Callithrix jacchus: one gene and its partner. The protein of the gene in region 1 interacts with the protein of each later gene in a pairwise test. Links are inferred from orthologs where the notes say so. Each region holds a gene or a part of one and is shown on either strand. Other genes may lie near its edges.

What was found.
Region 2: the proteins of ANKRD40 (region 1) and AHCY interact in binary tests that used the Homo sapiens proteins (3 or more experiments, as listed by UniProt). The two-hybrid records come from large-scale screens. The link is inferred for Callithrix jacchus from reciprocal best matches to the Homo sapiens genes ANKRD40 and AHCY.

Annotation. Positions count from the first base shown.
Region 1 is NC_133506.1:115,636,355-115,652,454, forward strand, and holds the start of ANKRD40 (ankyrin repeat domain-containing protein 40), read left to right. Parts: upstream 1-6,907; 5' UTR 6,908-7,168; coding exon 7,169-7,302; intron 7,303-13,460; coding exon 13,461-13,609; intron 13,610-14,283; coding exon 14,284-14,769; intron 14,770-16,100.
Region 2 is NC_133506.1:4,995,146-5,010,580, forward strand, and holds the start of AHCY (adenosylhomocysteinase), read left to right. Parts: upstream 1-389; 5' UTR 390-474; coding exon 475-502; intron 503-726; exon of another isoform or gene 727-1,372; intron 1,373-4,864; exon of another isoform or gene 4,865-4,875; intron 4,876-6,295; coding exon 6,296-6,486; intron 6,487-7,910; coding exon 7,911-7,986; intron 7,987-9,585; coding exon 9,586-9,735; intron 9,736-10,159; exon of another isoform or gene 10,160-10,547; coding exon 10,548-10,660; exon of another isoform or gene 10,661-10,715; intron 10,716-11,143; coding exon 11,144-11,351; intron 11,352-11,443; coding exon 11,444-11,531; intron 11,532-11,631; coding exon 11,632-11,749; intron 11,750-15,435. UniProt on the Homo sapiens protein: Catalyzes the hydrolysis of S-adenosyl-L-homocysteine to form adenosine and homocysteine. Binds copper ions.

The DNA of each region.
Region 1 (16,100 bases):
GCCCTCCACCTGCTACACACCGATCACCCTCTTCTTTGTACCATAGTTTCACCTTAAGTGTCCTCGCACATTTTTGGGTTTGTCACACAATATTGCAAATATTAATCTCTTCCCTTAGAATGAAAGGGTTTTTTTTTTTTTTTTTTTTTAGATCAGGTGCCATTTCTTATTCATCTTTGTATTCTCAGATTCTAGCACAGCATATAACATGTAGGAGGTAGCTCATGGTCACTCCTAACCTCATTATAATAATGTGCTTACGTCTGAATGTTTGTGTCCTCAAAGTTCATATGTTGGGCTGGGTGTGGGCTCACACTTGTAATCCCAACACTTTGGGAGGCTGAGGTGGGTGGATTGCTTGAACCCAAGAGGCAGAGGTTGCACTGAGCCATAATCTCGCCACTGCACACCACCCTGGGTGACAGAACAAGATCCTGTCTCAAAAAAAAAAAAAATTCCTATGTTGAAATTCTAACCTCCAAGGTGATGATATTAAGAGGCAGGACCTTTGGGATGTGATTAGATCATGAAGGCAGAGACCTTAGGAATGGGATTAGTGCCATTCATAAATGAGGCCCGAGAGAGCTCCTTTGCCCCTTCTGCCATGCCATGTGAGGAAAAAGTGAAAAGCTGGCAGTCTGCAACCCAGAAGAGGGCCCTCGACAGAACCTGACCACGCTGGCACCCTGATCTTGGAATTTCAGCTTCCAGAATTGTGAGAAATAAATTTCAGTTGTTTATAAGCCAACCAGGTTGTGGTATTTTGTTATAGCGGCCCAAATGCACTATGAAAGTCTGGGGTCTACCCCAGTGCATAGTTTCACTGCAACTTTCTTCTCCGACGGCACCAGCAAGCTCATTATGGTTAAACCCATTTTCTGTGTTTCAGCCCTTTCTTGCCCTTTCTGCAGCACTTGACCCTGTGGATCATTCCCTGGTCTCCAAACCCTCCCACTCCTTTGCTTTTCCTCCTGCTCTTCTGTGAATAGTGCTCCTCTTTAGTCTTGTTTGAGAATTTCTTCTCTTCTGTCCATCATTAAAATGTTGACTACAGATGCTCCTCAACTTAAAAAGGGGTTACATCCCAATACATCCATCATAGGTTGAAAATGCATTTAATGGCCAGGCGCAGTGGCTCATGCCTATAATCCCAGCACTTTGGGAGGCCGAGGCGGGTAGATCATGAGGTCAAGAGATAGAGACCATCCTGGTCAACAAGGTGAAACCCCATCTCTACTAAAAATACAAAAATTAGTTGGGCATGGTGGCACACACCTGTAGTCCCAGCTACTCGGGAGGCTGAGGCAGGAGAATTGCTTGAATCCAGGAGGCGGAGGTTGCGGTGAGCCGAGATCGTGCCATTGCACTCCAGCCTGGGTAACAAGAGCGAAACTCTGCCTCAAAACAAACAAACAAACAAAAATGCATTTAATATACCTAGCCTATGGATACGGTTTGGCGCTGTGTCTCTACCCAAATCTCATCTCAAATTGGAATCCCAAGGTGTCCAGGGATGAACCTGCTGGGAGGTGATTGGTTATGGGAGCGGTTTTCCCCATGCTGTTCTTGGGATAGTGAGTGAGTTCTCACGACATCTGATAGTTTAAAACTGTGGCACTTCCCCTTCGCTCTCTCGATCTCTCTCCTGCCACCCTGTGAAGGAGGTGCTTGCTTCTTCTTTGCCTTTGCCAAGATTGTAGGTTTTCTGAGGCATCCCCAGCAATGTGGAACTGTGAGCCAATTAAACCTCTTTATAAATTACCGAGTCTTGGGTAGTTCTTTTTTTTTTTTTTTTTTTTTTTAGACAAAGTCTTGCTCTGTCACCCAGGCTGGAGTGCAGTGGCACAGTCTAGGCTCATTGCAACCTTTGCCTCCCAGGTTTAAGTGATTCTTGTGCCTCAACCTCCCAAGAGTAGCTAGAATTATAGGCTTGCACCGCCACACCCAGCTAAGTTTTGTATTTTTTTACTTTTCTTTTTTTTTTTTTTTGTTTGCACACAGAAAACAATTTGGTTCCAATGCATAATTTTTGTATTTTTTAGTAGAGACAGGTTTTCTCCATGTTGGCCAGGCTAGTCCCGAATTCCTGGCCTTGGCGTCTCAAAGTGCTGGGATTACAGGCATGAGCCACTGTGCCCAGTCATTTTTATAGCGTGTGAATATGCCTATCAAACGTCGTAACTTAGTCTAGCCTCAAATGTGCCGAGAACACTTACATTAGCCTCCAGTTGGGCAAAATCATCTAACACGAAGCCCATTTTATAATAAAGTGTTGAATATCTCTTATAATGTATTGAATACCGTACTGCAAATGAAACAGAATAGTCATTTGGGTACTTGAAGTAAGGTTTCTACTGAATGTGTATCACTTTTGCACCATTGTAAAGTAAAAAATCCTAACTGGAACCATCATAAGTTTGGAACCATCTGTCTTCTTCAGCCTTTGGCGGTCTTCTTTTTAAATATTATTTACTTACTTATTTTAAGACAGGGTCTCGCTATGTTGTCCAGGCTAGTCTGGAACTCCTGGGCTCAAGGGATCCTTCTGCCTCAGCTTCTTGAGTAGCTGGGATTAACAGGAACAAACCACCATGGCTGGCTGTCTTCTCTCTCTCTTTTTGATACAGTCTTGCTCTGTTGCCTAGGCTGGAGTACAGTGGCATGATCTCAACTCACTGCAACCTCTACCTCCCAGGTTCCAGTGATTCTCCTGCCTCCGCCTACTGACTAGCTGGGATTATAGCTATAATTATAATGGGTACACCACCACACCCATATAATTTTTGTATTTTTAGTTAGAGGTATGGTTTCACCATATTGGTCAGGCTGGTCTCGAACTCCTGACCTCAGGTGATCCACCCACCTTGGCTTCCCAAAGTGCTGGGATTACAAGCGTGAGCCACCATGCCTGGCAGCAGTCTTCGCTCAGCACTCACAGACTCTCTTGGGGATCTCTTTTCTATTCCCATGACTTCAGCTAGCACCTTTTGCTGACTGCAAAAATGCAATTCACCAGCCCAGATCTCCTTTCTAAATGCAATACCCATGGACATAACTATTTACTGGACATCTCCATTTAAATGAAATTCAGAAAAGAAAGCACAGGCTCAGCAGTTGAACTTGAGTTCAAACTTGCTCCATCACAAACTACAATATATATAGCATTGGGCAAATTTTTGTTTGTTTGTTTGTTTGTTTTGAGATGGAGTTTCACTCTTGTTGCCCAGGCTGGAGTACAATGCCATGATCTCAGTTCATGAACCTCCGCCTTCTAGGTTCAAGCAACTCTGCTGTCTGAGCCTCTCAAGAAGCTGGGATTACAGGCATGCGCCAACACGCTCAGCTAATTTTGTATTTTTAGTAGAGATGGGGTTTCTCTGCATTGGTCAGGCTGGTCTCAAACTCAGGACCTCAGGTGATCCACCTGCTTTGGCCTCCCAAAATGCTGAGTCATGAGTCATCATGCCCAGCCTTTTTTTTTTTTTTTTTGAGATAGGGTCTCATTCTGTTGCCCAGACTAGAGTGCAATGGCGTGATCTTGGCTCACTGCAACCTACACCTCCTGGGATCAAGCAATTCCCCTGACTCAGCCTCCTGAGTCAGCACCCGCCATCACACCCAGCTAATTTTTGTATTTTTAGCAGAGATGGTGTTTCTCCATGTTGACTAGGCTGGTCTTGAGCTCCTGACCTCAGGTGATCCACCTGCCTCAGCCTCCCAAAGTGCTGGGATTACTAAGTGTGAGACACCATGCCTGGCCAGCATTGGGGCAAGTTAATTACCTCTCTGAGCCTCACATAATAATGATGGTCCTGTCTTACCGAGGAGTTGTTGTGAGGATTAAATGAGATAATTCGCATACAGCACTTCCTGCAGTGCCTGGCAATGAATTGAGAGTAGCAGATAGTAAAGAGTAGTAGTAATTAAAAGGGCCTCAGAAAGCTCAAGTCAACAGATTCAAAAGTGAATTCATGACCAAACCTCAAACCTTCTCTTCGTCCTTTGTCCCAAATCTCAATAAATCGCACCACCAGGCTGGGCACGGTGGCTCACGCCTGCAATCCCAGCATTTTGGGAAGCAGAGATGGGTGGATCACCTGAGGTCAGGAGTTCGAGACCAGCCTGGCCAACATGGTGACACCCCATCTCTATTTAAAAAAAAAAAAAAAGAAGAAAGAAAAAAAAAATTAAATCTCACTACCATCTAATCAGCCAGAAACCTGAATGTTATCCTTGTTTCTTGATCACCACCGCCCTCCCATTCTGCCAGGTTAAGTTTCTCTAATGTAAACCTTGTAGTAACCCACCTATGATCCAATGAATGTTTAAGATGTCTAGGCTTTGCACACATCCATTCATTCAATCCATAGAACAATCCTGCAAGGTGGGTGCTACTATTATTCCTATTTCGCAGATGCAGAATTCAAGGCATGGAAAGTTGAGTAATTCATCCAAGATTATATGAGTGGCAAAGCTGGCATACAAACTCAGGCAGTCTGTCATCCATCTCCCGTGCTAACTACTACTATGCCACATTGTTTCTATTGTAATGCATTGCATGTTATATTGTTTGCCTTGTCTCCTCTGATAAACTGTTCTTTGAAATCAAGAACTGTGATTCATTCGAAGTAGCAACATCAGTGACTAGAACAGTGACTGGCTAACAGTACATGCTTAATATGTTCAGTGAGTTAGGTAGTACCCTAGAGACAAGACAAAGGAGAGATAAATGGAAGTAGTAATAGAACAGCCAGCAGGTTACATTCGGTTATATCAAGGATCAGAGGTTTCGTTTGTGGATAAAGTTTTTTTTTTTTTTTTTATCTGAAGATAATAAACAGAAGATTGAAATCAGAGTAAGTAGAGGTTGAATTTAAGAAGATCTACTAATATTCATGGGTACAACAGTTATGTAGGGTATGCACTATAATCCTTTTAAGGAAAGGACGTATAATCCTTTCAAGGAAGTTGACAACCTCATAAAGAGAACTCAGAGACCATGGGGTGCAGTCAGGAACAACTTCTTTCTTTTTTTTTTTTTTTTGAGATGGTGTCTTGCTCTTGTTGCCCAGGCTAGAGTGCAATGGTGCGATCTCAGCTTACTGAAACCTCCGCCTCCTGGGTTCAAGCAATTCTCTTGCCTCAGCCTCCCAAGTAGCTGGGATTACAGGCACGTGCCACTCTTGCCCAGCCACTTTTTGTATTTTTAGTAGAGATGGGGTTTCTCCATGTTGGTCAGGTTGGTCTCAAACTCCTGACCTCAGGTGATCCGCCCACCTTGGCCTCCCAGAGTGCTGGGATTAACAATTTTTTTTATCTGCATTAAAACAAAAAACAGCAAAAACAGGCTGGTGCAATAACTCACACCTGTAATTCCAGCACTTTGGGAGGCCAAGGCTAGCAGATCACGTGAGGTCAGGAGTTCAAGACCAGCCTGGCCAACATGGTGATATCTCGTCTCTACTAAAAATACAAAGATTAGCCGGGCGTAGTGGCACATGCCTGTAATCCCAGCTGGTCGGGAGGCTGAGGCAGGAGACTTGCTTGAACCTGGGAGGCGGAGGTTGCAGGTGGAGATCGCACCACTGTACTCCAGCCTGGGCAACAGAGTGAGACTCCGTCTCAACAAACAAACAAACAAGCCACTGCCTACTCCCACGTCACTCAAATTGTGAAGGGCTCAATTCCAGTGCCATACACATCAGCTTCAGTTGGAGTATCATGTTGGATGTAAGAATTAAAATTTAAATTGGGGGAACAAATGCGAGCTCAAGCAGGGTTACAATTTGCCTTGGGGGTCAATTTAAGTATGTAGTCAGTTTATATTCATCACCACCTGCTGTGCACTGCGTACTGTGTGAATTACTGAATATACTAAATAGACATTGGTTTTTCTTAAACTGTAGCAAGAAAAATGCTTGCTGTGCAGATCCTAGCAGCTCCAAGAGACAGAAATGAAAACTCCATGCCTAAATTTATCCCTTCCTATTTCATCTCTTTGTCCAGGCCTTCTTCCCTTCCACCCCAGGGCTATTTCCTTAATCCTGACCCCATCTGCAAAGTTCCATCCTGTGCTACATTGGAGCATCTCTTCGGGCCACCTGGACCCAGCAAAACAAGATTTCCTTTTTCTCCCACTGGGTATAAAACAGTGCCAACTGAGGCTCTGAGCCTCATTAGATAGATTGGGCAAGAAGTCAGGCAAAATGTTGTTTACATGTACACATCAGCTCTTCCGTGAGCACTTGGAATCAGGACCAGGACACCTCCAAAGCCTCTTTGGTGTTTTTCCTTTCATTTTCCTTATATGGCCTTCAGGAAGAGTAACTGATTACAATCTGTAAGCAGTAATTACAGATCATAAACTGTGAGCACAATAAAAATATTTTTCCTGAAAGCCAGGTTAGGAGAAACCCTGCCTAAAATGAGATGTAAAACAACAATTGAAATAAATATTCGAACTGAATTGTCCCCAAGCACTGTCAAAAAGAAGAAAGAACAGTGTAATCTATCTCTGTAATAATGGGCGTATTATAGTAGGATCGTTTTAAGCTCATTTCCCCATGCTGCTGGGCAAGAATCGACTCAGATAAGGAAAAGTAGCCAACCAAACGAGGGAAAAAAGAACAACAAAAACCCCCCACATCCCATCAAAAAGAACCCACCAATTATTTTGGATGCCTGGCAAACAACCTGCACCAGAGGATAAGGCTTTTCGGGCTCTCAACTACGCTTTTTTCTCTTTTCATGTGTCTGTCCTCCTCCCTTGAAACTGCGGGATGGGGAGGTCTAAAAATAGCCAGTGAGTCACGGCAGATAATATTGTGCAGTAGTTACATAAACAGCCAGCCCGGGCGCCGGGGCCCGGGGTCGGAACGGAAAATATCTGGGTCAGGGTTGTCACACTGAATAGGGTCCCCCGGAGCCGGCCTTCGGGAGGTGCGGCCGGGGAGGAGGTCTAGGCCTGCAGGCCCGGAGCAGCAGGGGCGGCCAGCGGGAGGGAGCGGAAGTCCCTGGACGGGCGCGGGCGGCGGCGCGAACTGGGCGGGCGAGCTCCGCGCTCCCTCCCCATGGCCGGGAGCGGACCGCGGCGACGGCGGCGGCGCTGATAGGCCCCGGGCGGGGCGGGGCAGGCGGGCCCGGGCGGGGGCCTGGGGCCGAGGGAAAGATGAGCGCCCTCCTAGAGCAGAAGGAGCAGCAGGAGAGGCTGCGGGAGGCCGCGGCCTTAGGGGACATTCGGGAGGTGCAGAAACTGGTGGAAAGCGGGGTGGATGTGAACTCCCAAAATGAGGTCAACGGCTGGTAAGTGGGGAGCGGGGGAGGCCTAGCGTCAGGGCAGCCGGTCCGAGGCGTGGGGCAGTCAGCCGCGACCTGGGCCCAGCGCTGCCTCTGGACGCCGGGCTATGGCGACACCTGCCACCTCGGGCCTCCGAGATTGTGCCCTCTTGAGGCCAGCCCTGGCCCCCATGCCTCGTGCGGTCAGGAGCGCGTCCTGCCCAAATCCCGGCCCACGTGGTCCACTCGGAGCAGCGCCCACTGGGACCCTGTCGCCCTACCCGCTTCCCCCTGGCCCCCTGGGTCACTTAGTCAGAGCAGTGCTGGAGGCTATGATTCTCAGCTACTGTGCGCTGGAGCTCACCCCAATTTGAGTGTTGAGTTAATTTGCCGTAGGTGCTTCCGAAGAACACATCTTGCAGAGCTAAAAGCATAAGCAACTGAGCATATACGAATTTTATAAACTAGCACGATTTCCTTAGCCAAGACCAGGGAAAAAAAAGAAACATTTGCATCACCATTCTGCTTCTCCATTGTTTCAGTCCAACCGATTTGCTGCTGCTGCCTACAGTTGCCTGTTTGAGGGAAGGCTCATTTGTTTATCCTATTAAGTATTTTGCTTTCTTTCTTTTTCTTCTCTTTTTTTTTTTTTTTTTTGAGACAGGGTCTTGCTCTGTCGCCTAGGTTGGAGTGCAGTGGAACAATCTTGGCTCACTGCAACTTCCACCTCCCCGGCTCAGGTGATCCTCCTGCCTCAGCCTCCCAAGTAGCTGGGAATACTGGCGAGTGCCACCAGCTAATTTTTTTTTTGTTGTTGTAATTTTAGTAGGGATGGGGCCAGGTTGGTCTCAAACTCCTGGACTCAAGTGATCCGCCCACCTTGACCTCCCAGAGTGCTGGGATTACACGTGTGAGCTTACCATACCCAGCCTCTTCTTGTTACAATTTCAAATACAACATGTCATCCAAGGCTTTAGATGTCTGCCTGCAGATTGAATTCTCCCCAGTTAAATAAGGAGTCTCATTATAAGATATTGTTGGTGGTCAAAACTTACTGAGTGTGGTATTATTCCACACTCTGCATTTAAAAGTTAAAATTTTATTTGATTCAAGTAATGCTTAGCCAGACTATTTTGCTAACTTAAAGTGAGTTTACTTTTTTTTTTTTTAAGTGGAATCATCCATTTTGGAACTGAAAGGAACAGTGCAGATAAGCTCAATCCCAGAGAATAACTTGCCCTAGGTGACATCCCTATTAATATGACAGAACCAGAACAAAACTCTCTCAAAAGTCTTATCTACCTGAGCGGAGTGTGGTGGCTCTTGCCTGTAATCCCAGCACTTTGGGAGACTGAGGCAGGTGGATCACAAGATCAGGAGATGGAGACTATCCTAGCCAAGGTGGTGATACCCCAAATCTACTAAAAATACAAAAATTAGCTGGGTGTGGTGGCATGTGCCTGTAATCCCAGCTACTTGGGAGGCTGAGGCAGGAGAACCACTTTGAACCCAGGAGTTGGAGCTTGGAGTGAGGCAAGATCTCGCCACTGCACTCCAGTCTGGCGACAGAGCAAGACTCTGTCTCAAAAAAAAAAAAAAAGTCTGTCTACCTGGTGGGACCTGGTGACTCACGCCTGTTATCCCAGCACTTTGGGAGGCTAAGACAGGAGGATCACTGGAGCCCAGAAGTTTGAGACCAGTCTGGGGAACATAGCAAGACCACAGTCTCCAAAAAAAAAAAAAAATCTGTCTACCTAATTTTCCTAAAGAAAACAGCCTGGACAGCTGTCCAGAAAGCCAGGAAACAGTGGATACAAGCTTTTCTGTTTACAGTTTCCAGGTCTTTGCAGACTTGCTGTTGTGTATGTACCTTTTCTGTGCATTGCTCTGGTTCAAAGCTGTGAATTACCATTTTGGCACTGGGAGGCAGTGTTGTGTAGAAGGAGCCTAGTCTTCCCTGCAGGTTCTTCTCCATTCCTGCCTAGCTATGAGGCTTTGCCCAAGTTGCTTCATTTTCTACTTATTCCAGAAGAGTGTTGTCAGCATTTAATGAGATGAAACATAAAATAAATAGCTAACATTTATTGAACTTGCTTTGTAGCAGAGATGGTGTTCTAAGTGATGTACGTGTGTTAGCTCGTTCACAACTGCTTGGGGACATAGTTACTGTTCTCTCCATTTACAGATGAAAAAACTGAGGCCCAGAAAGATTAAGTCATTTCTTCACTTTGCACAATGCTCCTTCTCAAGATCATAGGATTGACAGTAACTAGTGGAGCCAGAAAAAGAACCTGGCATCTGACTCCAGACTCTACCCTCCTAAACACAATGTCTGCCCCATAGCAGGTGTTTCGTAAATATAATGTGAAGCTGAGGTAGCCTGAAGAGGCTTCGTGTGTGTGTGTGTATTTATTTTTATTTTTTTGAGACAGTTTTGCTCTTGTTGCCCAAGCTGGAGTGCAATGGTACAATCTCAGCTTACAGCAACCTCCACCTCCCAGGTTCAAGCAGTTCTGCGTCAGCCTCTCGAGTAGCTGGAATTAGAGCCGTGCACCACCATGCCTGGCTAATTTTTTGTATTTTTAGTAGAAACGGGGTTTCACCATGTTAGCCAGCCTGGTCTCGAACTCCTTACCTCTGGTGATCTGCCCACCTTGGCCTCCCAAAGTGCTGGGATTATAAGCATGAGCCACTGCCTCGGCCTCTTATAGATTTAATTGGGGGAAGTGTCTAATAGGCTCCTCAAACTCAACATGTCCAAGATTGAATTCCAAGTTTCCCCTCATCCCTCTACCACCTCAAGTGTGCTCCTGAGTCCTCTTCAGCCTCTCAGGGGTACTCAGGCCAGAACCCTTGGCGCTCTGCTTGCCTTCTGTCTTTCATAGCTGATATCCAGTCAGCCAATGCTGTGAGTTCCACCTTCAGATACAGTCAGAATCTGATTACTTCTTACTACAGCTCTGGTTCAAAGCCACCATTGTTTGTCACCTCAATTATTGCAGTAGCCTTCTAACTAGTCTCCTTGCTCCTAAGCTTATATCGTAGTCTTCTTAATTAACACAATGGCCAGAGGGATCCTGACTTAAAACATAAGTCAGATCATTTCACTCTGCTCAAAAATGGCTCCTGTATCACTCAGTAGAAGCCTACAAGGTCCTACAATTTGTACTCCCTGTCCCCACATCTTCCCTCCTTACCTGTGTGCTCATCTCATGGGATTTGCCCTTCTGCTTACCTTTTTCCCCTGGGCTCCTTGCTTTCCCAGGAATACGAGACACAGTCCTGCTTCAAGATGTTTGCATTTTATCTTCTTACTCTCCTAAATGCTTTCCCTCCAGATGTCACATGGTTTGCTCCCTCATGGCCTTTAGATTTTAGTTTAGATGTCACCTTCTTGGCAAGGCTTTTCCTGGCCCTTCAGTTTAAAATTGCACAATGCCCTTCTCCAACCTCTCGCATTCCCTAACGCCTTTCCCTGCTTTACTGTCGCTGTCACACTTCATCACCTAGCGTACTGCATGTTTTGCTTATTTATTTGCTGATAACTGTTTCCTCTTCTGTAAAATGGGGGAAATGCTGAATATAGTATTTACTTCATGGGTTGTTTAGAGGATTAAATTAGTTAATACATGTAATGCCTTTAGAACAGTGTCCAACATGTAAAGCATTATACCTGTGTTAGCTATTGTTGTTATTATGAAGCAATGTGCTGGGTAATGGAATATAAGGTTACTTCCAAAAAACTTACACTCTTGCATTGAAAAGCAGAATGGTGACTGCTTTCAATTCTCAGTTGCTCAGTAACCATAATTTCAGCACCAAGCAGTGATGCCCAGTTGATGAATGACACCCAGTGCCTCAGGTCTGAAATAGTTTCCGACACTAATAAGATATTCTGACTGCAAATGTAAAGCTTAAGGAGTTGAAGTTCAAAGATAGAGTAATTTATCAATTAGATTGATTACTAATCATTCTGCCACATCAGTTGTAAATCAAGTGTCATATATGACCCTTGATTTTAAGGACCAAGGATAATGCTTCATGAAGAACTTGAAAATATTACCTGGCTGCTGCGGCTCTGAGTTATGGCTGCCCAGAGTCACAGAGCTCTGGATTGTAAATGATGATCACTAAGGTACAGGGCTGTGGGGGCCATGCCATGGTGACTTACCAGTGCTTTACATGGTGATAGTTTAGCAAGTTGGTTTGTCCCAGAGTCTCTCAGACCCACTGGCAGTAAATTACTTCCTTTACTCTCAAGCCATGACCAAGTGATCTACTACTACCAAGTGGGCATTTTATTTCCAAAAGGGAGCATATTTTTCGCATCCTGCTTCATTCATCCTCCTTCAACCATTTTAATTGTTTACTTTTTAAGCCTGTGCGACAGACATCCACACACAAACACTCTCAGTTGCAGTTTGCCCAGAATCAAAGATAGATTGGATTCTTCTACTTCAAGCAAGGTCCACCTTATCCTTAGTTTACTTATGCAGTAATTTTTTTTTTTTTGAGATGGAGTCTTGCTCTGTTGCCTAGGCTGGAGTGCAGTGGTGCAATCTCAGCTCACTGTAACCTCTGCCTCCTGGGTTCAAGCAGTTCTCCTGCCTTAGCCTCCTAATTAGCTGGAATTACAGATGTGCACCATCACGCTAATTTTTGTATTATTAGTAGAGACAGGTTTCACCCTGTCGGCCAGGCTGGTCTCGAACTCCTGACCTCAAGTTATCCACCTGCCTTGGCCTCCCAAAGTGTTGGGATTACAGGCATGAGCCACTGTGCCTGGCCCGTTCAGGAAATATTAAGCATGTATATGTGCCAAGCAAATACATCCTTGCCTTCAGGAAGACTCTTCTCTCCCAAACTTAAAAATATTCTTATTTTTCCCAAATTAGCAATAATTGTGTCATTGCATCATGGAGTACACCTTAAAGGAACCTGGATAATCTAATTCTAATGAACCATAGTGTAGAATGTCACTCTGAGACATTAATGGAATTACTCCCAGCCAGCCAGACCTGCTAACTTTCTGGAAGTTGCTAATGTTAAGCCATTAGTAAGTAAGCAAATCAGCTTTTTCCTGGACCCATATAAACTTTCCAGATAATTATACTTCCCAGGTTAGTGACCTAACCTTCACTACTGAACATATGTTCTAATCTTCATTTCTGTATTTGGCTGTAAGAGCTCTGAAGATATTTATCTCAGTTCAATTATAGATTTGGTAAAAGAAGACATTTCAAAACACAGGGGGAAAAGTATTTTCATTCCATAATATGCATTCAGCTTTGGCACCTAGGGATGGATTTAGTCGCTCTGAATCTTTCATTTCTGTGAAGATGGAGTTTTTGCTGGCGTGCTAATTATGTTTCTGTGCAGTATTAAAATAGTAGCCCTTCAGTGTGTGCAGAATTGCTTCCTCTGTGTACAATATTGAGTGATTAGTTTTACTTAAATGAGTTTGATATATTAGAGCCTGTTGAAGAATTTTGGTTGTTGATGTATGTTTTTAAGTACCTTAGGAATTAAAGTATCTGTGCAGTGCCTTATGTTTACGCAGATGAGGATATGTTTGTAGCCTTCTGGAGAGAACTAGAGAAGCCGGCTTTTTAAAAATGGAAATTTGGAAATCTTTTGTGTGTGTTAAGTAAAGAAAAGGAGGAAAAAGAAAGTGAGCAACTGGGATTCAGACAGGAATATCTGCTGTCGTAATAATAACTTAAGTGACAGAGCAAGCTGCAGATGGGAGATGGTTATTAGCCTGATCATATTGAACCTTCAGGTGGCATATGAAGTGAGTTTCCATAGTCCCTGAAAAGGAATATAGCAATATAAAAATGTGTTTCAAAGAGACTGAGATGATCTAATGAGCGATATTGATAGAGTAATACTCCACAGTATCACTGGAGTTAGCCAGCCAGTGAGCTTCCCTTCTGGAGGCCATTGAAATGAAAACTCCTAGGATAAGTTAGTTTTTCTCAGGGGCCAGAAATGAAATTTAAAAACAAAATATAAGCATATTAAATATTTTGATCATCTGCTTTCTGAAAAGTTGAGATTACCAGCCCGGTTACCTGGTTCTAGCTGAACTCTTAACAGGCTTATATATGTTATTTACTAATGTTTCGAATGTGAAATCCCAAATCACCTCTCCTCTTTTTAAATCATTCTTTTCTTTGGGACAGGACTTGTTTACATTGGGCATGCAAACGCAACCATGGTCAGGTAGTCTCTTACCTGCTAAAATCAGGAGCTGACAAAGAAATTCTTACCACAAAAGGAGAAATGCCGGTTCAGTTAACGTCAAGGAGAGAAATCAGGAAGATTATGGGAGGTGAGTCTGTTTTGGGGGAGCTTTTGATTTCGTCAGACTTATTTAAGACTTGTGATATTATTGGCTGCATTCTTTTTTTTTGAGACGGAGTTTCGCTGTTGTTACCCAGACTGGAGTGCAATGGCACGATCTCGGCTCACCGCAACCTCCGCCTCCTGGGTTCAAGCAATTCTCCTGCCTCAGCCTCCCGAGTAGCTGGGACTACAGGCGTGCACCACCATGCCCAGCTAATTTTTGTATTTTTAGTAGAGATGGGGTTTCACCTCGACCAGGATGGTCTCGATCTCTTGACCTTGTGATCCACCTGCCTTGGCCTCCCAAAGTGCTGGGATTATAGGCGTGAGCCACCGCGCTGGGCCTATTGGCTGCATTCTTAATGCTGGTCAAGCAATTGTTCTATTTCTAAAAGCAAATTACTGTGCCAAGATAGTAATTCCAGGTTGTTTCTGGGGAGGTCAGCATTGTAAGGTTTTTTTAATTATTTGTAAAATTTAAGATAATGAGAAAAATGATAATCATAAACCTAATGAAATATTTTTTTCTTCTGACCTCAAGAGGCGATAAACACTGACCAAAATACTTGTCACATACCAAAAGACACTACTTCCAAAAGACCCCTTTCTTTTGATAATTTTGAAAGGGCTGTGTAAATGTTCTGTTTTCTTCTTTTTAAGTGGAAGAAGATGATGACGATGATGACAACCTTCCCCAGCTGAAGAAGGAGTCGGAACTGCCCTTTATTCCCAACTATTTGGCTAACCCAGCCTTCCCTTTTATCTACACACCCACAGCAGAGGACTCAGCCCAGATGCAGAATGGGGGCCCCTCCACACCTCCTGCATCACCTCCTACAAATGGCTCACCTCCACTCCTTCCCCCTGGGGAACCTCCCCTGTTAGAGGCCTTTCCCGGGGACCATACTTCTTTGGCACTAGTTCAGAATGGTGATGTGTCTGCCCCCTCTGCCATACTCAGAACACCAGAAAGCACAAAACCGGGTCCTGTTTGTCAGCCACCAGCGAGTCAGAGCCGCTCCCTGTTTTCTTCTGTCCCGTCCAAGCCACCAGTGTCTCTGGAGTCTCAAAATGGGACATATGCAGGACCAGCGCCAGCATTCCAGCCATTTTTCTTCACTGGAGCATTTCCATTTAATATGCAAGGTAACCCCTCATCAGCAAACAGCCTCTGCTACAGGGGAGTTGGCGTCCAGAGGGGTGGGATTTAATTAGGATTTTTTGGGTATAATTACAAACTTATAGAAAAGTTACAGAGCTAGTATAAGGAACTCTGTTTACTTAGATTCACAAATTAACTTTTGCCCTTTTACCCTGAAATACTTCAGTATTTCCATTATAACAACTTTCCTAAAAACAATGATATTCTCTTTGCCTCACTGCAACCTCTACCTCCTGGGTTCAAACGATCCTTCTACCTCAGCCTGCCTAGTAGCTGAGATTACAGAAGCGCACCACCATACTGGCTAATTTTTTTTGTATTTTTAGTGGAGATGGGGTATTTACCATGTTGGCCAGGCTGATCTCAAACTCCTGACCTTAAGTGATCCGCCTGCCTCGGCCTCCCAAAGTGCTGGGATTATAGGCATGAACCGCCACATACAGCCAGATATTTTCTTACGTAACTACAGTACAAATGATCAAATTTGAGAAATATAGCCTTGAGGTAATGCTGTTCTGTAATCCATAGTCCATGTTTAAATTTTGTTAGTTGTCTCAACCAATGCCTTTTGTATTCCCTTATCTACTATATGTATTGTCTGTACTGTTGATATTTATCTGTACTATCTACTCCGCTGCCCCCTGCCCCCTGCCCCCTGCCCAGGATCACACATTGCATGTAGTTATCGTGTCATTTAGTTTCCTTTAATCTGGAATCTTTACCCTTTATCATTTTTGATCTTGATCTTTTTGAAGGGTCCCGGCCAATTATTTTTGTGGAATATGATTTTCTTAATTCTATCTCTACTTATTAGTTGGTATTTTACTGTAAAGAAGGGCTTTCCCTTTTCCATTAATATCAGTATTGACTCGTAGATTCTTATGTTATTTAACGGGTTATAATCTGTTATTATCATTTTTAAAATATTCAAATTATCCTAGATGTGGCCAGTGGGAGCCCCTTCAGGCTAGTTCTTCTGTCTTTTTGACATGTCTTTATTGTTCTTGCGGTGCTGCCTTACTTTCTGGTGCAGCAAGGTGTTCCAGGCTCATAGCAGAAATTTTCCTGCTCAACCCTTGGAGAAGTCAGTCATTTCTCCAAGGAGCCCTGGTTCTTTTTGGTGGAAAATGGTATTTAGAACACACAGCAAACTTGCCTCTTACTTGGGCCCACTGAGAATGGTATTTAGACACCAGGATGTGGGCACTAGGTGTCCTCATTGCTACAGGTATATCATTTCTTCTAGGCCTGCTGAGAGGACAGAGCCAAGAAAGATATCTATCTTTCTATATCTTTTTGAGAATATTAAAAACAC
Region 2 (15,435 bases), about 110 Mb from region 1:
AGCCATCGCACCTGACCTGCAACTTTACCTATAATAATCTGTGTGGTAGGTAGATTTTCCTAATCTGTAAAAATTCGGCCCATTTTACAGATTAGGAAATTGAGGCACAGGGAAGTGAACTAGCGGAATTTCAGTTCCGCTTGGTTCTGACATTGAATTAACTGGCTGAACCTGCAAGAGGACGGCCCAGCTGGGTCTCAGGCCTCTCCTGGCGCTCCCTTCCGAACCGGTACGTGAGGTCCCTGGGGCCAGGCCTTGTGAAATTCTGAGGCTTCCCTGCAGGGATCGAAATCCTCTGGCCCCACCCTGCGCGTTGGGCCCCGCCCCAGCGTATCATGAATATGCAAGTACCAGGGAGATATTTAAAGGAGCCGGCGCCACACGCATATCCCTGCCCCGCGTCGCCCGTCCAGAGCCTCTCCTCTGACTGAGGCCCAGCCCACTTCGCCCGTGCCCGTCACCAGCGACGCCAGCATGTCTGACAAACTGCCCTACAAAGTCGGTGAGTCCTAGGACCTGCAGCCGGCTGCCGCTGCTCGGCGCCCACCCGGCGCATGTTCGGGGCGGGGACCGCAGGGCCGACTCCGGGCGCTCTGGACCCCCTGAAATCGCAGGCTCGGCGAATTTCTAGCCGCGCCAAGCCACCTGGAAGTTGGAGTTCTCGCGCGGCCGTAAGCTGACCTTCCCGGGTGGCCGCGGACTACGAGTCCCAGCGTGCCCCGCGACGTCGGGGGTGGCGGCGCGGGCTGTGAGCCGCAAACTGGCGCCGTGCTCCAAAGGAGAGCACACCTGGCTGCGGCCTGGAACGGCGGACACCTGCCGGACTCTGCTCAGGGGGCCTGCGCCCTGCCTCCTGTGCCTGGACCGGACCCTGTCCAGCTGGGAGGCCCCGACGAGGGTTCCCCCCCGCCGCCCCGGGCCTCCTACAGGGATGGCGAGGGCGCTGGAGCTTCGGAGCGTGTATGAGGAGAGGCCTGGAAAGCGAGCCCCAGGCCGGCTCCGGTCCTCTCCCCGGGGACTTTGGGCCAGTTACCCAACCTGTGGGATCTCCCACCCCGCCAGCAGGAGTGGTTAGAAAAATCCTGCTGTCCCACCGAGTGAAGTGTGATCCAGGGATACTTAACGTTTACTTAGCGTTTCCTGTGGGTTCGGCACTGCCTTCTAGTTTTATTCTATTTTCATGGCTCTCTAGGGAGACTGTTATCGTTTTATGATGAGAATCCTGAGACAGAGGTAACTTGCCCAGTCTTACAGCTGGTGGTGATGGAGCAAGATTGGAACGCAGGCCATCTAGACCTGTGAGCGCACCACCCTTTTCACCGCTGTGCAAGCGAATACACGCGGAACAATCCTGACTTTTCAGCAAATACCAGTTAAGTCTGGCTAGTAGCTATTCAAGTAACTTTGACACAATTAGACCGGGTGTGGTGGCTAACACCTGTAATCCCAGCACTTTGGGGAGGTGGAGGTGGGCCACCTTGAGATCAAGAGTTCGAGACCAGCCTGGCCAATGTGGTGGTCTCGAAATCCTGTCTACTAAAAATGCAAAAATTAGCTGGGTGTGGTGGCAGGTGCCTGCAATCCCAGCTACTCGGAAGGCTGAGGCAGGAGAATCGTTTGAACGTGGGAGACGGAGGTTGCAGTGAGCAGAGATTGCCCCACTGCACTCCAGCCAGGAGGCTGAGGCGGGCGGATTATCTGAGGTCAGGAGTGTGAGACCAGCCTGACCAACATGGTGAAACTCCATCTCTATTAAAAAATAACAAAATTAGCCAGGTGTGGTGGCGCATGCCTATAACTGCAGCTAATCAGGAGGCTGAGGCAGGAGAATCGCTTGAACCCAGGAGGTGGAGGTTACAGTGAGCAGAGATGCCACTGCACTCCAGCCTGGGTGACAGAGCAAGATTCCATCTCAAAAACAAAACCAACAACAAAACACACACACACACACACACACACACACACACAACCACTATTAAGTCTGGAGAATGGCATCCACATTTATGGGACACTTGCTGTATATCCGGTGATTTATATGTATTTACAGAATAATCTTCATAGAGGTGGACGCTATCCCGTTATATAGAGCTTGAAACAGACCCTTGGGAAATGACTTGCAAAGATTCTGTTGAAATAGTTTAAGTTGCTACAAGAGTAGACTGTCTCCATTGTGTGGATGATGAAACTGAACCCAGAAAGGTTATGTCAAGGTCATAGTAGTAGAGCTGGAATAGGGCTTGTCATACTGTGGAGAGATTAGTGGGTCAGGATTGGGGGCACTGGGTTGTGTAGATGGAGATAAAGCTGGATTTGGGAGAGGGGGAGCTTAGCAGGATGAGGCTGGAGGAAGGAGGCCCTGCTGTGTGCCAGATCTTGATCATATGGCATCTTCTTTACTTAGGGCACATGGTAAGCTAGGGATGATTATCCTCATTTTACAGATGAAGAAACTGATGTTTGGAGGGGTTCTTGCTGTTCCTCTTGGCTTCTCCTGGGGACAGTTGTTCCTGTGACTTCTGCAAGTCCTTAGCTCCAGAGATTGGAGCATCTAGCCTCTCCTGTGCCCTTGGAGTTGAGGGTCCCACAGAAAACTGTGGGGCTGGCACAATGTCCTTGAGGGCACTGAAGGAGCTATTTTTAGCTGGAGGGACATGTAGTGGTGGAGGGGTGGAGCATAGCAGCACAGGGCATAACCCATTTTCCCATATAGCCTGGCCCCTCCCAGGAAGGCCTTGAGAGGGGCCTCTGCTCTAGCCCTACCTGGCTGCCAGTTATGCTTCGGTCACTAATTGGCTATGGAACCTGTGGCAGACTCCTCTCTGCAGTCTGAGTTCCTTCCTCATTAGTAAATGCTGGGACTTGGACTAGGTTCAGATTTATGTTGTTTGTCTTTGCCACCCCTGTCACGTGCCAGCCCCTCTCATGGGTCTTTCATTCAGTTCTGAGGACACATGATCAGTAAACAGTTGTGTCTGCAGCGTGAGGCCGTGCTGGAAACACATAGGTGACCCGAGGATAGGGGTGGCACAGGCATACATACAGATGAAGTAGCGCGGCCTCCATCTTGTGTGAGCAGAGCTGGCACCCCTCTGTCTCCATAGTCACCCAGTTCTGGTCTGTCTCCTTGCGGACATCCCTGGATCTCTTGCTGCAGAGATCCACGCAGCAGCCAGTGGGGTCTTTTCAAAAGACAAACCTGGTCTCTGAATGCTGGCTCCCTAAAAACTGTAGGCTCCCTACTTTGCTGGGACTGAAGTCCCGACTCATCTTACCCCCTCTATTTGAGTCATCCTGGTGCATTCTCTGTTTGTTTTCTTTTCTTTTTTTTTTTTTGAGACGGAGTTTTGCTCTGTCATTCAGGCTGGAGTGTAGTGGCTCGATCTCCATTCACCGCAACAACCTCTGCCTCCTGGGTTCAAGCGATTCTCCTGCCTCTGCCTCCCAAGTAGCTGGGATTACAGGTGCGAGCCACCATGCCTGGCTAGTTTTTTTGTATTTTTGGTAGAGATGGGGTTTCAGCACGTTGGCCAGGCTGGTCTCGAACTCCTGACCTCAAGTGATTGCTTGCCTTGGCCTTCCAAAGTGCTGGGATTACAGGTGTCATCCACCATGACTGGCCTAAGAAGTGACAGTTTGGATGAAGGTGGTGAGATGCAGTTGGATTGCTTATATATTTTGCTTGTTGAGCCAAAAACGTGCTAATTGAGGTGGAAGAGGAAAAGAGGAATCAAATCTTAAGTTATTGGCCAGAGTAGCTGGTTGAATGGTGGTTTTATTTCCTAAAATGGGAAGATTGGGAGAGAAGGAGTAGCAGGGCAAGGAGTCATGAGGGCTCAAGCATGACACGAAAAAGTCCAGTTGGACATCCAGGTGGAGGTGCTGTAGAAGCAGTTGGATCAAATTGAGTCTCAAGTTCAGGGGAGTGGTTTGGACTGAAGGTAAGTACGTGGGAACGCTGCAGAGAAGGCATGTAAGGCTGTAAGACTGGATGAGCTTAATTGGTAAGCATTAGAGAAGCAGGAGATGATGGAGCCCTGAGGGCTCCCAAACTAATATTAGAGTCTGTTATCTGCAGAGGAACCAGGAAGGTAGGTGGAAAAGCACAGGAGGACAGAGTAGCAGAAGCCAAGTAAAGAAAGGGTTTCTGGAAGGAGGAAAAGTAAGTGGGATTACAAGTAGCTGGGATTGCAGGTGCGTGTCACCACGCTTGGCTAGTTTTTGTATTTTTAGTAGAGATGGGATTTCCCCTTGTTGGTCAGACTGGTCTCAAACTCCTGACCTCGTGCTGCTCTCCTCAGCCTCCAAAAAGTGCTGGGATTACAAGCCTGGGCCACCATTCCGGGCCGTGTCTTTTAGGGTTTTAATAAATGTGATGTCTTGGCCAGGCACAGTGGCTCACACCTGTAATCCCAGCACTTTTTGGAGGCTGAGGTGGGCAGATCACAAGGTCAGGAGTTCGAGACCAGTCTGACCAACAAGGTGAAACCCCGTCTCTACTAAAAATACAAAAACTAGCCAAGCATGGTGGCGAGTTCCCGTAATCCCAGCTAGGGAGGCTGAGGCAGGAGAATTGCCTGAACTGGGACCCAGGAGGTGGAGGTTGCAGTGAATCGAGATTGTACCACTACACTCCAGCCTGGGCTGTGGAGCCAGACTTCTATAAATGAATGAATGAATCAATGTGATATCTTGGTGTGGTTGTGATTGCCCTCCTGCTGGGTTCAGTGGCTCCAGTGCAGTGGAGGGTCAGGTTTAATTGGGCTGAGAGTTTTGCCAAGTGAGTTCTCAAAGGGAAAGAGGGCAGAAGGCAGAAGGGACAGTAGAAATTGGTAGGATGAGTGGAATAGAAGTTCTGACCTGACAGGCCACAGCCTTGTTGGAGCTGGGGCTCTAGAGGGAGAAAACTGGAAAGAGGAGATGTGGCTAGAGTTGGGTGCTTTAGTCCAGATTTCCAAGGAGTGCTATCATTGGTGATGGCCTACCAGGGTAGGAGGCCTGGGGCAGGGTGGTATAGAGAAGGGCTTGAGTTGAGGCACAACAGGAGTGTTCTCTCATGGGAGAGGCGTGTTTCATCTCTGAAATTGTTTCAATGCACTGTAGGCAGCTGACTGACTTAGACAGTTTTATTGATTATTAAATTCTCTACAGAGTCCTTTGCCTCTCATCGTCTACCTCTTTGGGTGATTGGCAGAATCTAAGCTTCCCTAAAGATAAAAATCATCGTGAGTCTTAGACCTGCTGAATCCAATTTTCCAGGGGAGATTTACAAGTATGCCAAAGGAACATCCCTTATTAGGGAAGTCTGCAAACTTTGATCTAGGGACCAACCTAGGTTGGGTGTGACCTTGGAATGTGGTAGGGGAGAGAGGAAGGTGAGATGAACAGAGGGAAGAGAATTGAGACAGTGAGTTAGCTCATAATAGTACCCTTCTTTACTGCCTGATATTTGAACAAATTTGAGACATTTTAGGTGGCAGACAGCACCCAAAATACACCTTTTATTTCTAATAACCTCAAGGCCAGAGAATGTAGATTAGTATGAAATCCAAATGATTCTGCTGACTGAACTCCCAGATTCAGCAGTTACCCAACCAGTTAGTTGCAGGCAGGGTGGGCCAGGGTAGGTTGATCTCTGGAAAAGCAGAGAACAGCGGCTTCCTGCAGGTGGGCAGGTGGGTACTTGCTTGCAAAAAGAAGAGAGGGCTAAACTGAGCACACCATTTATTCCTCTCAGTTTTACTGGTCAGACAAGCTCACCCCACCCCCACTGGGGCAGAGAGGCCAAGAGTGTTAGTTATACCCGGTGAGTTCCTCCAGGTGGAAAGAAACATCAGGAGTGGGGAAGCATTTTCACATCTAAAAGGAGATCAAGGAACTGTCAAATCCAAGGTGTTAGATAGTATTTATAAGTGTTGAATCACCGAGAGTGATGACAGAGAGGAAGATGGAGACCCAGCAGCTAACCTATTTAGGGAGTGAGGAGTGACCTGGAGGTTGGTGGCTGTCAGCAGAAAGGAGGGTAGTGGGCAGTATCATCTGAGCTGTTTGCTTTGTGTTGTCATTTTTGTGTCCCTGTGTGATTGATTACATGTGTTTTCCCACAAGTCAGAAAGGTGCAGGGAGGCAGGGACCTTGTCTTTCTTGAGTCCTCTGGATTCATAAATACTTGTTGAATGATTTAGAGAATGCGGTGACAGAGTGCTAAGCCCTAGTGTATTGAGTCCACAAGTGGACCGGGGTCCACACAGTGACGGCCGAGGAGGCTTACCCAACTCCCACCTGTTTCCCTCGGTAGCTGACATCGGCCTGGCTGACTGGGGACGCAAGGCCCTGAACATTGCGGAGAACGAGATGCCGGGCCTGATGCGCATGCGTGAGCGGTACTCGACTTCCAAGCCGCTGATGGGCGCCCGCATCGCCGGCTGCCTGCACATGACGGTGGAGACGGCCGTCCTCATTGAGACCCTGGTCGCCCTGGGTGCTGAGGTGAGGCCCACAGCTGTATCACCCCAGAGTTCTTGCCATCCTTTGTGGTGGGTGTTGTGCACATTTTCTTCCTGGCTGGAAGATAATTGTTGGCTGCCCTCAAGGCATCCTCATGCTTGATGCTCTGGCAGGAAGAACTCAACTCCCGTGTCCCATTTAGTCCTATAAGGGCTTGCTTGCCTTGGCCCTCCTGGGGGTCACAGACCTGCCCTGGCCCATCATGGCTGCCGGGATGATGGCAGCTCTGATTTTCAGCCCAGGTCATGTGTGCCAATGATTGACATGTCTCCTAAGGTCTCAGAGAGTAAAGAAGCAAGCTGGTTTCCCAAAGCAGGGAAGGGCATTGCAGCCAAAACCCACAGAGGGACTCAGGGCTCAGTCCTTGGACCTTTCCTTTCAGCATTCACTCTTGGTCTGATTGCAGAGCTTTAGATACTGTCTATCTGGTTTTGACTCCCATATTTTTGTACTAGCCTGGACTTCTCCTGGAGCTCGGGACTGGCATATCCAGGAGTGGGGGTGTTGACACTACCTGGCGGTCTAGTACTCACCTCAGGCAGCACACGTTCAAACAGACTCAGGATTGTCTGCCCCTCCTCTTCCCAAAGGCTTCCCTATGTGAATAAATGGAATTTTCACTCCAGCCTTCTAGGTTCCCTCAGTTCAAGAATCTGGGAATCATCTCTTCCCCACCCTTTCCTCCCCGCTCCCAACCCCTTTTACTTCAACAATTCATCCCTTAGCAAATCCTGCCAGTGCAGCCTTCAGAGTAGACCCAGGATGGAACAGCTTCTCATCACCTTCACTGCTACTGCTACTGTCATATTTCTTGCCTGGAGTCTTCTCCAACAGTCTCTTCAGCTGTCCCCTTGTTTCCGCCCTTTCCCTTCCACACAGCACCACCATAAAAACTTGAGTCAGGGCTGGGCGCAGTGTCTCACACCTGTAATCCTAGCACTTTGGGAGGCCAAGGTGGGTGGATGGTGAAGTCAGGAGATCAAGACCATCCTGGCTAACACGGTGAAACCCCATCTCTACTAAAAATACAAAAAATTAGCCAGGCGTGGTGGGGCATGCCTGTAATCCCAGCTACTAGGGAGGCTGAGGCAGGAGAATTGCTTAAACCCTGGAGCTGGAGGTTGCAGTGAGATGAGATCACGCATTGCACTCTAGCCTGGGCAACAAGAATGAAACTCTGTCCCAAAACCCCCCAAAATAAAAAAACAAAACCTGAGTCGGATGTCGTCACTGCTCTGGCCCCCATCTACCCACCCAGTGTCCCCAGCCTGTGATCCTAGAGCTTGCTGTGCCTAGATCCCAAGCCTGTCCGCCTACCTGCAGAGCTCTCCCTTTTCCTTGCCCAGCGTTCCTGGTGCTTTTGAACCATCAGTGACCAACAGCCTTGTTCTGACGGCTCTTTCTAGGTGCGGTGGTCCAGCTGCAACATATTCTCCACGCAGGACCATGCGGCAGCTGCCATCGCCAAGGCTGGCATTCCAGGTGAGTCCTGCTTACTGCTGGGACGTGTGGGGTTTATGAAGGGGCTGCTCTGTTGCTTCACTGACTGCTACAGCGACAGGCTTCCTTAGCCTACAGCAGGGGAGAGGAGTCACGGCCACAAAATCCTACCCAGCCACCCATAGGAAAGAGCTGCTTTGTCCCATCCTCATCTAAAATCCTGTGGAAGTTGTTTTTTGACCCAACTCAAGCCATGTGACCAGGAAGGGCAAGATCTTATTATTGGGAATTACATGATGTAGAGGAAGGGAAGTTCATTAAAGGAAGGGTGTGGATCTGTTTCTAAAGAACTGGGGAGGGCTACAGGGCAGAAAAAGATTCACTGCTTAGGGTATGGCGGTTGAAGGACTGAGGAAGGACTAAGACTAATGAGAAAGGAGTTTTCACAGGCTGGGCACATGTCTGCTTGGACTTAGGGAGGGAGTGGTTAATCTCACGCAGTGATTAAAGAGGACAGTCAAGATTTCTTCTAACCGACCATAGGTAGAGAGGAGAGGGTGGGACAGGGCTCCTTCCCAGACTGACCAGGGCTGAATAGGCATGATCCCCGTTCCTCACCATGGCTTTCTTCTGGGAAAGGCCTTGTTTTCTTTTTGTTTTTCCTTTTCTTTTTTTTTTTTGTTTTGAGATGGAGTCTTGCTCCTTTGCCCAGGCTGTAGTGTAGCAGTGTGATCTCAGCTCACTGCAATTTTTAAGACCATTGTCTGCTCCAGTTGCGCAGGAGAGGCTGGCTCTGCTTGGCCAGCGTCCTTTGCTCACAAGGGGCTCCTGGGAACCCCACACCTGTGCCCTAGTCACGTCACATGGGAGGAGTGTGGACTGGCCACCCAGTCCTTAGTGCCCCTTAGTTCCGGTGTCTGTTCTGGAATTTCATGTGGAGTGGCCCAAGTGCGTCTCAGCCCCTCTCTGGGCATCTGTAAGTGTGATAATGGTCCTGGCTGCCTCACAGGGTCTGTGTGAGGATAAGCGAGATGGGGCATGAAGGATTTAGAGTCATGTCTGGCAGAAAGCAAGTGCCCCATAAATGGTAGCGGCGCTTAGTCATTTTTTGGCCAAACTTTGCCTGAGACTCCTCCCATCCCAGAGGCTGCTGGTGCTACAATCCTTTCAGTGCAGAGCAAACCCTGGATCCTGCCTTGGGGATCCAGCTGAGGGGGAGGCATTGTGGGGCATGGAGGCCTGGTCACTCAGGGTTGATGCCCTAGTCCTTGGGGCCCAGGCAGAAGGGGATGGGAAAGGAAATAATTATTTCCTGATATCTACATCTGGGGGGCTATACATGGCTTCCGTCTCACTTAATCCATACTGTTTTAAGCCCTATTTATAGAGGAGAAAACTGAGGCTCAGAGAGGTGAAGTGATTTGCCCAAGGTCACACAGCTGGCAAGTGGCAGAGCCAGGATTTGAACCCAGATCTATGTGGCTCCAAGTTGTATTCTTATCACTGCTGAGTCCCCAGAGGGGCCAGAGGTGGCTGAGGATGGGAATTGGGAAGGAGGTAGTTTTGGCTCTGCCAGGGTTGTTCCCGGGAGCAGGTACAGACTGGGGAAGTCCAAGCCCTAATATGCCATTCACCCTCCAGTGTATGCCTGGAAGGGCGAAACGGATGAGGAGTACCTGTGGTGCATTGAGCAGACGCTGTACTTCAAGGACGGGCCCCTCAACATGATTCTGGATGATGGAGGCGACCTCACTAACCTCATCCACACCAAGTACCCACAGCTTCTGCCGGGTGAGCAGGGTGGGGCAGGTGGGCTGGGTACTGGATGGGACCTGCTTGCCCACATGATGGCCGCAGGCCTGGCAGGACTCCCAGCGCCTCAAGCAGCAGGATCTAGAAGATGGAAGGATGGCAGGCCCTGGGATTCATGCTGGGGCTTCCTGACTTCAGAGTGCGAGGCAAGGGTGGCTGAGCTGACAGCCCAAGGGCAGACACAGGGCCATGGCTGGGAATAGCTGAGAGGGAGCCAGCTTTGTTCAAAGCAGGTACGGGGAGTACAGGGAGTACAGAGGCCTGGATGCAGAAAAAGCTAGAATGTTCAGGAAACAGAATAGAGGCCCGCAGGATAGCAGTGAACAAAGGGAGCCTTCACTGGGGGGTATTATGGGATATGGTGTGAGCTTTCATGAAGGCCAGATGTATTCAGTCCTAATAGGCCAATAGAAAAGCATTTGATTCTCAGCGCAACGGGAAATAATTGGAGGGCATTCAGAAGATTTCTCTGAGAAGACACATGTTAGACATGGCTGCTGCATGGAGAATATGCCGTGGCAGGAGACAGGGTCAGGGCCTAGCGCAGCAGCAGTGAGAATGGAGAAGCTGGGAGTTGTTGGGAGGCAGAGTCACTAAGTCTGGCGGTGGCTTTCCCTAGGAGGGCGTCGGGGACTCCTTGCTCATGCTGGTCTGGGTGACTGGGGGGCCTGTGGGATCAGTCACAGAGATGGGAACCCAGAAAGAGGAATGACTTTAGGGGGCAAAGATGAGGAATTTGTGTGCGCTCAGGTGAGGTGTCTCTGAGGCTTGTCCTCTTCCCTCTTGTTTAGGCATCCGAGGCATCTCTGAGGAGACCACGACCGGGGTCCACAACCTCTACAAGATGATGGCCACTGGGGTCCTGAAGGTGCCCGCCATCAACGTCAACGACTCCGTCACCAAGGTGAGCTGGGGGCAGTGACAGCTCCCACTGCAGTGGCTGCAGCTCCATGCGAGGCCTGTGAAGAAGAGCGTCCAGGAAGGCTGAGGCTAGGGACATGAGGCCCTCATTTGAGGGGGCAAAAAAGTGGTTATAGATCAAGGCTAATGAAGGCATTTAGATGGAGGTCTCAGTGCTGGGTGTTAGGAGCTTTATGGCTTTGGGAAAAAGAGCTTTCAACTTAAGCAAAGTATTTGACCAGGCAGTCTCTCCTGGTAACTGATCCCTAGGAAGGCTCCAAACCAGTAGAGAAGGATTAGAGAGACGTCTTGGAGCCGATTGGGGTGAAGGGTGTGTGGAGGTATTGGCTGCTAGAGGGTTTCCACCCAGGCCGGGATGCTCAGTGGGTGCACGATGCCTGGGCTCTTCCGAGTATTCTGAGGTCAAGTGGTCCTGGCCCCAGGGCCTTGCAGGCCCCCATCGTCTCCTTACTCCCTCTCCTTTCAGAGCAAGTTTGACAACCTCTATGGCTGCCGGGAGTCCCTCATAGATGGCATCAAGCGGGCCACAGACGTGATGATTGCCGGCAAGGTAGCAGTGGTAGCAGGCTATGGCGATGTGGGCAAGGGCTGTGCCCAGGCCCTGAGGGGTTTCGGGGCCCGCGTCATCATCACCGAGATTGACCCCATCAATGCACTGCAGGCCGCCATGGAGGGTAGGATAGGGCAAGTGTTGGTTGTCAGCCACTGCGGCCGGAGGGAAGGGCACGGGTGCTGTAGATGACCCTCAGCCACTGTCTCTGCACAGGCTATGAGGTGACCACCATGGATGAGGCCTGTCAGGAGGGCAATATCTTCGTCACCACCACAGGCTGTGTTGACATCATCCTTGGCCGGTCAGTGCCCCTTGGAGGTCCTGGGGAGTGAGGGAGGAGGGCAGGGTTGGGACTGCTCTTTGTCCCTGACAATCTCCCATGATCTCGGGCTGCCTGACAGGCACTTTGAGCAAATGAAGGATGATGCCATCGTGTGTAACATCGGACACTTTGATGTGGAGATCGACGTCAAGTGGCTCAACGAGAATGCTGTGGAGAAGGTGAACATCAAACCGCAGGTGAGAAGCTCCCATCCTGCCAGCGGGCTGGGCAGATGGGAACACAGAGGAGTGCTGGCTGCCAGGGAGGGGAGCTGAGGAGACTGTGGCAACCTGTGTAGTGTGATGGGGAGAAGAGGGCCTAGTAGAGCCAGCTGGAGATGGCAACCTTATCTCGAGAGCAGCCGGCATCCCTGAAGGTATCAGGCAGGTGAGCTGTATGTGGTGAGGCTGTAGTTTTAGAAAGATCACTCTAGCTACTGTGCAGACTGAAAGCAATGATGGTGAGTGGTGGGGAGGGAGGCTTTTGGAGGAGGCTCTTACAGTCTCTGCAGGGGATGGCTGCCTTGGGGAGTGCTGGGGATGGATGGACGGCATGTGGGGTCAGGATGAAGGTAGAGTCACAAAGGACACAGCTTTGGCCAGGCATCGTGGGTCACACCTGTAATCCCAGCACCTTGGGAAGCTGAGACGGGCAGATCACCTGAGGTCAGGAGTTTGAGACCAGTCTGGCCAAGATGGTGAAACTCCATCTCTACTAAAAATACAAAAGAAATTAGCTGGGCTGGACACGGTGGCTTATGCCTGTAATCCCAGCACTTTGGGAGGCTGAGGCGGGCGGGTCACCTGAGGTCAGGAGTTGGACCACTGTGTGAGGAGCAGGCCCATGCACTGAGCTGGGAAAGAATAGGTTTGCACTGGGGCACTGAAACTGGAAGACGAGTTCTTGTTGGGGGTATGACATTTTACTTGAGTTGTAATTATTGTGGATTCATTTTTTTCTCTGATTATAAAAGTAATATGTTTCTGGAAGACATTTAGGCTTTGGATATCAAGAGCTTTAAAGTTAAGCAAACACGGCCTGGTGTGGTAGCTCACACTTGTAATCCCAGCACTTTGGGAGGCTGAGGCGGGTGGATCACTTGAGGTCAAGAGTTTGAGACCAACCTGGCCAATATGGTCAAACCCTGTCTCTATTAAAAATACAAAAATTAGCCGGGCGTGGTGGTACACGCCTGTAGTTCCAGCTACTCAGGAGGCTGAGGCAGGAGAATCGCTTGAACCCGGGAGGCAGAGGTTGCAGTGAGCCAAGATCACACCACTGTACTCTAGCTTGGGCATCAGAACGAGACTCTGTCTCAAAAAAAAGAAAAAAAAAGTTAAGCAAACTCTTTGACTGCGCAGTCTCTCCTGTAATTGATCCTCAGGAGATAATTAAGTAAGTGTTATATATAGAGATATTCATCACTTTTTTTTCTTTTTGAGATGGGCTCACTCTGTCACCCAAGCTAGAGGGCAGTGGCACAATCATGGCCCACTGCAGCCTTGACTTCCTGAGCTGAAGGAGCTGATCCTCCTGTCTCAGCCTCCCAAGTACCTGGGACTATAGGTGTGCACTACTACACCTGGCTAATTTTTTGTAGAGACAAGGTATTGCTATGTTGCCCCAGCTGGTCTCAAACTCCCGAGCTTAAGCGATCTTGCTGCTTTGGCCTCCCAGAGTGCTGGGATTACAGGCGTGAGCTGCTGCACCAGGCCCATCACATTTTTTAAAGGGAGAAAAGCCCACTTAATGTGAGGTTCTTTGAGTTGATGCTGTGCCGTCTTTCAGATATGGTATGGAAGATAGAGACACAGAATTGGCCAAAGCCCTGACACCCACCCAGTCACAGCCACACCAGAAGCCCAAGTCCCAGAGAGGCAGACAGGCAGCTCTGTGAACCCACATCCCCTACACTGCTCCCCTCCGGCCCTCTGCTCCTGTGTGGGAATTCTCCTTGGCTAGATCCTGCGCTAGTCTAGGGTGTCAATTCCTGGCTATGCAGAGGGCACCTCCATCTCTGCCTAGAAGGCCTGGCACTCATCACAGTGTGGGGGCGGGCAGGGCATGCTTCCATGGCAGCCACACCCCTGAGAGCCAGCCAGACGTCCTCCTGCAAAGGCATCACAGGGCTATACTGGGGTGATAGGCATCTTTCTGCCAAGCTGCCCTCCAAAGCTGGACTCTTCCCACCCTCAACATCCTTGACAGTCTTGCCAGCTTTCTGCCCAGCTTTATCTCTTATCTGTCCTCTCAAGGATCTCTGCACTCAGCTGTATTTGACCACTCCCTGAATACCCACTGCAGCTCCTGCTTCTGCTCGTCTGCCCAGACAGCTCCGTTTGTTTGGAACAGAACATATGCCCTTTTCTTTATCCATCTTCTTAACCCAGCTCAAGAGATCCCCCTTCTGGCCAGATATGGTGGCTCACATCTGTAATCCCAGCACTTTGGAAGGCCGAGGGAGGTGGATCACTTGAGGTCAGGAGTTGGAGACCAGCCTGGCCAACATGGTGAAGCCCCATCTCTACTAAAAATACAAAAAATTAGCCGGGCATGGTGGCTGGTGCCTGTAGTCCCAGCTACTCCAGAGGCTAAGGCAGGATAATAGCTTGAACCCTGGAGGTGGAGGTTGCAGTGGGCTGAGATCACGCCACTGCACTCCAGCCTGGATGACAAAGTAAGACTCCATTTAAAAAAAAAATTAAGGGCCGGGCGCAGTGGCTCACGCCTGTAATCCCAGCACTTTGGGAGGCCGAGGCGGGTGGATCACGAGGTCAAGAGATTGAGACCATCGTGGTCAACATGGTGAAACCCTGTCTCTACTAAAAATACAAAAATTAGCTGGGCATGGTGGCGCATGCCTATAGTCCCAGCTACTTGGGAGGCTGAGGCAGGAGAATTGCTTGAACCCAGGAGGCGGAGGTTGCGGTGAGCCGAGATCGCGCCATTGCACCCCAGCCTGGGTAACAAGAGCAAAACTCTGTCTCAAAAAATAAAAATAAAAAATATAAAAAGAGACTCCTTTGCTGGCCAGCTTCTCTGGCAGAGGCAATGCCCACACTCTACTGTAGACCCCTAGTGCAGCATCCATCACTGGCTTTGGTCTCTGCCCCGACTGTTTTATCAGGAGGGTAGAGTCCAGATTGATGTGTCCCTGCAAGGGGCTTAGATGGGTATCAGTGAGTGCTTATTGGCTGAAGCATTAATCAATGCTTGATGGGCATCAGAGACCTTTCCTTGGACTGGTACTAGGCCTCTGAAGCAGTTTGGAAACCTGGGCTTTTGGGGAAATGTTCAGGAGGCTGTGTGAGGGCGGAGGGATGGCAAGGGAAGAGCTGGGAGTGGGGAGAAAGCAGTTTGTGTGTTCAGACAGCTGGGACAGACGGAGGACTGGGGCACTGAGGCCGGGGATTTCCACTTCACGTTCACTTATCTACTAAACCGAGAGTTCTCAACCTGGCTGTCACCTGGGAGCCACACTGTGGGTTATACGAATAGGAGTCTCTGGGAATGAGGCCAGGGTATCCTCATTTTTTAGAGCTTCTGAGGTGATTCCAATGTGAGTGCCACAGCATTCAGCTTTTTATTTTTTGAGATGGAGTCTTGCTCTGTTACCCAGGCTGGAGTGCAGTGGCACAATCTCGGCTCACTGCAACCTCTGCTTCCTGAGTTCAAACGATTCTCATGCCTCAGCCTCCTGAGTAGCTGGGACTACAGGCACATGCCACCACACCCAGCTAATTTTTGTATTTTTAGTAGAGACGGGGTTTCATCATGTTAGTCAGGCTGGTCTTGAACTCCTGATCTCATGAACCATTTGCCTTGACTTCCCAAAGTGCTGAGATTACAGGCATGAGGCCACCGCGCCCCACCGCAGCTTTTA